Diceros bicornis minor: one gene and its partner. The protein of the gene in region 2 purifies or fractionates together with the protein of the main gene of each other region. This does not show direct contact. Links are inferred from orthologs where the notes say so. Each region holds a gene or a part of one and is shown on either strand. Other genes may lie near its edges.

What was found. Proteins that work in one complex are often made in the same cells at the same time.
Region 1: the proteins of VAMP5 (region 2) and STX12 purify together in Homo sapiens (affinity purification with mass spectrometry; 3 studies listed by BioGRID and IntAct, with this or other methods). This does not show direct contact. The link is inferred for Diceros bicornis minor from reciprocal best matches to the Homo sapiens genes VAMP5 and STX12.

What each region holds. Positions count from the first base shown.
Region 1 is NC_080752.1:43,290,643-43,294,388, forward strand, and holds the start of STX12 (syntaxin-12), read left to right. Parts: upstream 1-1,378; 5' UTR 1,379-1,467; coding exon 1,468-1,585; intron 1,586-3,746. UniProt on the Homo sapiens protein: SNARE promoting fusion of transport vesicles with target membranes. Together with SNARE STX6, promotes movement of vesicles from endosomes to the cell membrane, and may therefore function in the endocytic recycling pathway.
Region 2 is NC_080751.1:4,407,114-4,410,859, reverse strand, and holds the start of VAMP5 (vesicle-associated membrane protein 5), read left to right. Parts: upstream 1-760; 5' UTR 761-3,504; coding exon 3,505-3,684; intron 3,685-3,746. UniProt on the Homo sapiens protein: May participate in trafficking events that are associated with myogenesis, such as myoblast fusion and/or GLUT4 trafficking.

The sequences.
Region 1 (3,746 bases), on a different chromosome or scaffold from region 2:
ACGGACCGATGCACTGCTTGTCAAGCCATGCTCTGGTGGTGTCCCATATAAAGTAGAGGACGATGGGCACGGATGTTAGCCCAGGGCCAATCTTCCTCAGCAAAAAGAGGAGGATTGGCAACAGATGTTAGCTCAGGGCTAATCTTCCTCACCAAAAAAAAAAAAAAGAAGTACTCTTGTAAATGTTCCAACAAAAAATAGAGATAGGCTTGCTTACAAAAACTCTAAGCCTGAATGTAGGCTCATTCACCCATTTGGCTTCCTCTCTTTGCCATTCCCCAGAGATTGCAAAGCAAGCTGGGCTGGGGTGGAGTGGAGAACACAGGAAACCAACATGGCCAGTTCCCCTTCACTTCTCCCTGTCTTGATTTCCTCCCAAACCAAAATCCTACCCACGTCTTTCCATTTACCATCAGCTCACAAAATGCAGTCTTCTATAAGAACATGAGGTTATACAGTCCAAATTACTTAAGGGAATGATTTTTAAAATTTGAGAGTCTAGTTCTCCAAAAATCCTGGTTTGGGATATAGATGAAGAGGCTATTTGGGAGAGGTTTTGATGGAGAATGAATTTGGGAATATGAGAATGTGTTTTAGGGAAGTAATGCGATGACCATGGATTTAGCTTAGTGTGTGGGTTTTGTAGTCAGATCTCAGAAAAGCAAATTAACCTCTGTGTTAAAGGGAAAATAACCGTTACTTTGTCGAGGTAGTTCAACATTTTAAAAATCGATTGTCCATTGTTTATTCTGAAGGTAAAAATATAGTTAGAACATCGTCCCTTGCTGTGAAAGAGCTTGTAAACAAGTGAATTGCAGCGAGGATTCACACACAGTACGTGCTCAAATTTTATTATTATTATTATTATCATTTTATTGTTTAGAAGAGGGGTGCAGGGAAAAATGAAAGTGGTTTGTAAACCAGAAAAGTCTCCGCAAATACTATCAAAGCCCTAGAGGATAGAAATAGAGTGAGGAATTTCAGGAGTTTGGTTACGGATCTGAGTTTCAAGGTTGTCGAATTCTCCCATATTTGGGCGTGAATTCTCAGAAAAGAACAGAATAGCATGTTAGGGCTGAGATCATCTGGTCCAATTTTATGCTAATCGAAAATTCTTGCCTCCTGTCACCGCGCCCAGGCGAGAAACACCACCGCCACCGCAGCTCATCCAATCGGAGCCCCAACTATCTGACATCATCGCCCCGCCCCTCAAGCCCAAGCTCCGGGGCGTCCAGTCTCTAAGCTACTGTGCCCCGCACCACTTCCAGCGGCGCCCGCGCAACTGAGGGGCGGGGCGGGGCGGGGCGGACGCGTGCGCGCCGCGTGGGGGCGGGACTAGTGCGCACGCAGCCTCAGCCTCTTCCCAGACCTTTTCCTTCCTGGTTTCCCCGTCAGTCTGCGGGTCCCGTCTGGCAGCTGCTTCCGGTAGGAGCCCGGTGCAGGACCAGTCGGTCTCAGCTCCTCGTCATGTCCTACGGTCCCTTAGACATGTACCGGAACCCGGGGCCCTTGGGGCCCCAACTCCGGGACTTCAACAGCATCATCCAGACGTGCAGCGGCAACATCCAGCGGATCAGCCAAGCCAGTGAGCCGGGGGACTGGGCTGAGGGGCGGGCGCCGTCCGGGGGTCAGGCCTGGGTGTGGCTGCCGGGACGCGGAGCTCGGCCGGGGCTACGGCCAAGGCCGCACCTGACGCCATCTCGGGCTCTCCATTCTGGAGGCGGCGCCTGTCATCCCCGCATCTGTCAGGCCCGGGCTCCCCGAGGGTCCCGAGCCCCAGCGGAAGCTCGAGCTATTTCCCAGGTTCTGCCCTCGTGATGTTAGGGCCAAAACTGCAGACCTGACAGCCCCAGGGTGGGAAGGGGTGTGTGTGTCACCTCGAGAGCAGTGAGTGACTTGACTTGGCGCAGTGGTCAGCCGAGTTTTTCCTGTCATCCGCCTTCCCCCCGCCCATCTCTCCTTCCTCTTTGGCTAGCTTGGATCGGGAGTTGTTTACTGATTTAGACTTTAGGTTTACATTCTGCTGAGCTTCTGGCTTCTTGGAGATCAGCAGCTTTCAATTAAAGGAAGTGGAGAGTGCTTGTGTTATGGTGACTTAATACACAGTTCTTCACGTAGTGAAATTGGAAATCAGATAACGACTTCTGTTTTAAATAAAGAGAATTCACCGAAAACATTTCAATTTACATTGTCTTTTGTAGCAAAAGATTTGCGTATATTTTTGGATTTCAAGCCAATGAGGCTTTGTTTTCCATCTCTATTGAGCTACTCTTCTGAGCAAATCTGATACATAGAGAAGCTCAGGATCTTGGCCACAATCACATAGCAAGTAAGACATGGTAGAGTTGGTGGTAGATTTCAGAATGTCCTTGCTTGTCTTAAAACTGGATCCCCACCATTGGGGTCTGAGTGAGACTGCAGCTGAATGAGTCAGATAGAGGCTGTTTCTCGTGCCTGAAAAATCAGCTCAGAGCCTTATAAACAGGAGGTCAGCAGCAACAACTTTACTTGGAAAGAATGATGATCATCATCCTTGTTGTTTATTATTGTGCTTTTGTGAGTGTGGCTGGACTCTGTTAATAGATAGAACTAGTTGGTCCTGAATTACAGTTATGTTTTATATTTTAAAGAACAATCTATCACTTTGCTTTTAAATTTAAATACATAGTGCAGAATTTGAGAGGTGAGAAGTTTCTGATGGGAAGGGTTTGAGACTGAGTGATTTGGAAGTGGAAAGAAGAATATGTAGCATGTCAAGTCCAGAAATTAAAAAAGAAATTAATGTGACCACTGGTTAGAAAGTATAGTACTTTGTGTTCCAATTTCCTTTTGTGAGGGAGCTGTAATACAAGTTAGATCAGAAAATTCTGGTTCAAGGCTAAAAGTTTCTTGTTGAGGCTAAATCTAATTTTAATGTCTATTTGTGAAATCATTCTACATATATTTGAGTATCAGGCTATGTAGTAAGTATAGGAACTGGCATGGATTCTTTCATATATTCATATTTCAACCGAAATATAAAGTTGAAAGGGATCAGTGCTATAGATGAAGTTTAAATAACATTATGTAGGTATTCAGAGGAGAGAGAGACTATTTTGAGTTGGGAGGGATCGGGGAAGGCATTATGGCATTTGAGCTAGGTCTGAAAAGATGGTGGAAAGGATTTGAACTTGTGACGGTAATGAATGGGAGAGCATTCCAGGAGGGAATAAAATGAACAAGGCATGCTAGTGGAAAGGCATGTGGTTTATATAGAAAAGTAGAGTGATTTAATTTGGCTGGAGTGGTAGACTCTAGAAAGTAGGGGAAAATGGGGTTGGAAAGGTAAGTTCGGGCCCAAACATGAAGGGCTTTATGTGCTAAACTAAGGGGATTTGGATTTAATTCTTTTAAGAATGTGTAAATTGAATTGGAAGGGAGAGACTGGAATTAGAGACAGCAGTTAGGAACTGTGAAAATTAAAAGGAAGGAGAGGATAGGAGGGATCTCTTTGATGATAGAATTGATAAGATGTAGTTGTCGACTGGGCTCAAGGGATCATTGGAGTCAACCATTAATAACATTAATAGGGGCCGGCCTGGTGGCCCAAGCGGTTGGGTGCGCACGCTCTGCTGCGGCCCGGGGTTCGCCAGCTGGGATCCCGGGCACGCACCCACGCACCGCTTGTTAAGCCATGCTGTGGCGGCGTCCCATATAAAGCAGAGGAAGATGGGCACGGATGTTAGCCCAGGGCCAGTCTTCCTCAG
Region 2 (3,746 bases):
TTAGGTTATAAACAATTAGGTGTACAAGTTTGCAATAAGGAAGAGCTTGCTTGGCTGTTATATCTAAGAGGTTTTATTGACCACAAGTATTGTGTAGTTCTTGGGATCTGACTGCTAAAAAAAAAAGCGAGGGAAACGAGCTACATCAATAATAATAGCTGTTATTTATTGAACATTTAGTATGTGTCAGGTATTGTGCTAAGCACTTTATTTATAATATGTCACATGCCTTAGCCAACACTGTGGTATCATTGTCACCACTTTACAGATGAGGAAGTGGAGGGTCAGAAAGGTCATGTCCTCAGTCTTCAGTCACTCAGCTGGTGAGTGGCAGAGGCAGGATTTGAAGGAACCCAAGGCTGCAATGCAGAGCCCTGCTCTTAGTCTCTGAGCTCACGTGAGTGCTGAGCCAGGAAGGAGTTGATACCCCCGTCGCTGCCCAGGGCCGTCTGACTACGATGGCCAGACAGCTGAAATAGAGTGTCTTAGGCACTAACCAAGAGAGAGGGGAGACAGCAGAGTTAGGACAGGGAGGGGTTTGAGAGCTTTGTTTTCAGCATCAAAGGAGGAATATTCTGTGCAGAGGGTAACGGTCTGTCAAGAACATTTCCTGTGTGACTACCACCCTCTGCCTGCCAATGACGCTGCTGCTTGCCCTACCCCCGGCTCAAAAACTCAGGCCCTGCAGGCTCCTGGCAGTGCTGGGAAGTGCCTGTCTTGCCCACCCTTCCTCTCTATGCTCCGTGCCCCCCCCCCCCCCCCCCCCCGCTCGCCTGGCGGACATCTCCTCACACTGTTGCTGACAGCACTTCTCCTCCCCTTCTGGCTGGCCTCTCTGCCCTGAGTTTTCTCACTTGCATCCATGCCAGTCTACCACCAATAGAGAAATTATCCTGAAGCACCTCTTCAGTGTTGCCCTTGGCTCAGAAACCTACACTAGCTCTCTATCCCTCCCTCCAAGTGAGCTTCCTCTCCTTGACTTTTACTGCTTCCTCTGGCCCCATCATGCTCCCACACCGTTATCTTCTGCCTGCTGCATCACTGTCCCGAGCGTGTCTCTGTCTCTCTATGCCGAGAATGCCCCAGTTCCACCTCATCCATCAAGGGCTCACACCCTGTCCATCACAGTTCTCAGGAATCCCCCTCTCTGTGGTAGCTCCAGCTCTCACTATGTGTATCTCACAGTTAACTCTTCACTTTCTCTGATTGTCCCATATATGTCTCTTTCCCCCAACCTATACTGACTTCTTAAGAACAGGCACAATTCACTCAGAAAATATTGTCCACACATCCACTGTGTGCCGGGCACTATGCTGAGTTCACTGTGGCAGGAGGCAGCATGGCCTTTCCCTCTGGTCGCTTACTTCCTTCCACACCCATAATTCTGTATTTCTCACTGTGCCAGCAGAGACCTGTGCGTATAGTGTCCGTTTTCCGCTGGTTGAGTGGGGCCGAGGAGGGCCAGGAACTTGAGCCTGAGGCCTCTGTGTTCCCTGGATCAAATGTGTTTTTAGGCCTGGGCCCATCTTGGCTCCAGACAGGCCTGGCTTTGCAGTGAGGGAAGAGGCTGCAGACTGCAGCAGGAGGCACAGCTAGCTCTCCTGGAGAATGTGACCCAATGTCACCCCATGTTGGAGAATAAGATAACAACAGCTGTAGCATTTAGAGTAGAAAACAATAACATCCAGTGCCCCATCAGTCTTTAGTGGTGATTCTCATTTTCGAATCTTTGTCCATTCTCGGTTTTTGCCTTGGAATATTTGAATGTGGGGGTGCCTTGGACTGTGTGAATGCGAGAAGCTCCAAATAATGGAGCCTTGTTGAATAATATAGTAGTAACAATAGCAGTGATGATGGTTGACTCAGAAAAGGTAGAGATGAGCGCAGCTTCCCTGCTCTCTTCATTAATCTTCCTTGTTCCCCAGTTACTGCTTCCCCTGGCCTGTGAGTTCACCCCTCTGTCATGGTTCGCCTGCCCCCTCTCAAAGCAGGTTGCTTTTCTAGCTCATGGGTAAATATTGACCTACTTGGGTTTCAGATGCCTGCCCCTCGAAACTCCTGCTAGGCTAGATAAACACAAGGGGATAACATCTCTTGAGAATCAGAGCTGCTTTTGGAAAGGCTATAATGCAGTTGAGCCACTCACTGAATCTGTGCAACGGTCACCACTGAGCTGGGCCCCCGGAATGGCGGCAGACAAAGGCAGGGCATTGGCCCCTGCCTTCCCTCTGGGAGCTTGTGGTCCAGTTGGGGAGGTAGGGCTTATATACTGGGAATACTTGGAGGTTGTGCACAAGGCAGCTGCAAGGATCCTGAATGAGGATTGTTGCCTGAGTAGGTGGCCCTCTGTGACCACAAGATCCCTTCCCTTTCTCTGGTTTTAACTGGAATTCAGTCAAGTGCCAAAATACCTGCTGATGACAATAGGCAGTATAGTCTGGCAGGAAAGGGAGGTTGGCCGATGCTCTGTGGGGAGGAGATGAGAACTGGGATGGGCTGTGGGGGACAAGGCTGGGAGGAGGCAGTTACTGTGGTTTGTTAATCCACTGGTATTCATCTCCCTGACATGTCCCTGGACCTGCTTCTGGACCTCCAGCTCTCACTAGGGCCTCCTGCCCTGGGTCTCTTTCAGTTGCATGCGTCTAAAGGCCAGTTCCTTTATTGCTTGTGACCCATGCTTTCTTCCTCTCTCCTGTCCTCTCAACCTCCCCCCGCTTGGACTCTGCACCTCCCTTCCCCGTCCTCTGAAATGAGCTGGGTTCTTTTGTTAGGTGAGGCTGCTGCCTAGGCTGGGAGATCCAGGAGTTGGTCTTGTTTCAGTGAGTTGGACCCCAGTGAAGATCCTGGCTAGCTGAAAGGCTGGAGGCCAGAGGCCAGGAAGGCTGAGGTTCCCAGGCAGATAGAGAATCAACTTCGAGCATTGATGTGGATGTAGAGTTAGGCCATGAGGCAGAACTGGCCTGACCAGTCAGAAGCCCAAAGAGGGAAATCTGCTCTCAGTTTGTGTTTTTGTGTGTCTGTGGGGTTAGGCAGAGGCTATGATGTATGGTGGTCCAAAATTACCTTTCTAGCTCTGTGGAGTGGAGCTCCTCCTTGTCTGGCTTCTAGCCAAGTAGCTTGGTTCCCTGTTCTTTGCTTTCCCTGTTTCTTAGGCCAGTGGGAAGCCATAGGGCAGGTGCACATTGGGTACAGGCCATCCTAGAGCAGGCGGGCAAAGTGTCTGCTTTGTGGGAGGGTGGGGTCCTGGGAATGTCCCATCCTGAGGCACCTTAGAGTAAGCTGAGATGCTTGAAGCCAAGGCTGACCTAGGACCTGCCTTGATGGGCAAGGAGAGGAAGCCTATGAGACCAAGGTGAGCCACACACAGCCAGGAGGCTGGCCTTTCACTCTGCACGTGTGAAAGATGTTGTTTCCCCAACTCATACACTGCACACACACACACACACACACACACACACACACAGTGGAGGCAAAGAGGCCTCTAGGTCTCAGGATGAGGGACAGATGGGGGCCTCATGCAGCCCTGACCTTGGGCTTGATGACCAGGCAGGGAAAGAGTTGGAGCAGTGCCAGCGGCAGGCAGACGAGGTGGCGGAAATCATGCTCAACAACTACAACAAGGTCCTGGAGCGCCATGGGAATCTGGAGGAGCTGGACCAGCGTGCACACCAACTCCTGGGCAAGGTGTGAGGCCTGGGGAAGCAGGGGAGGGGGAGGGAGAGGCTGTGAGGAGCCCGCAGAGGGAG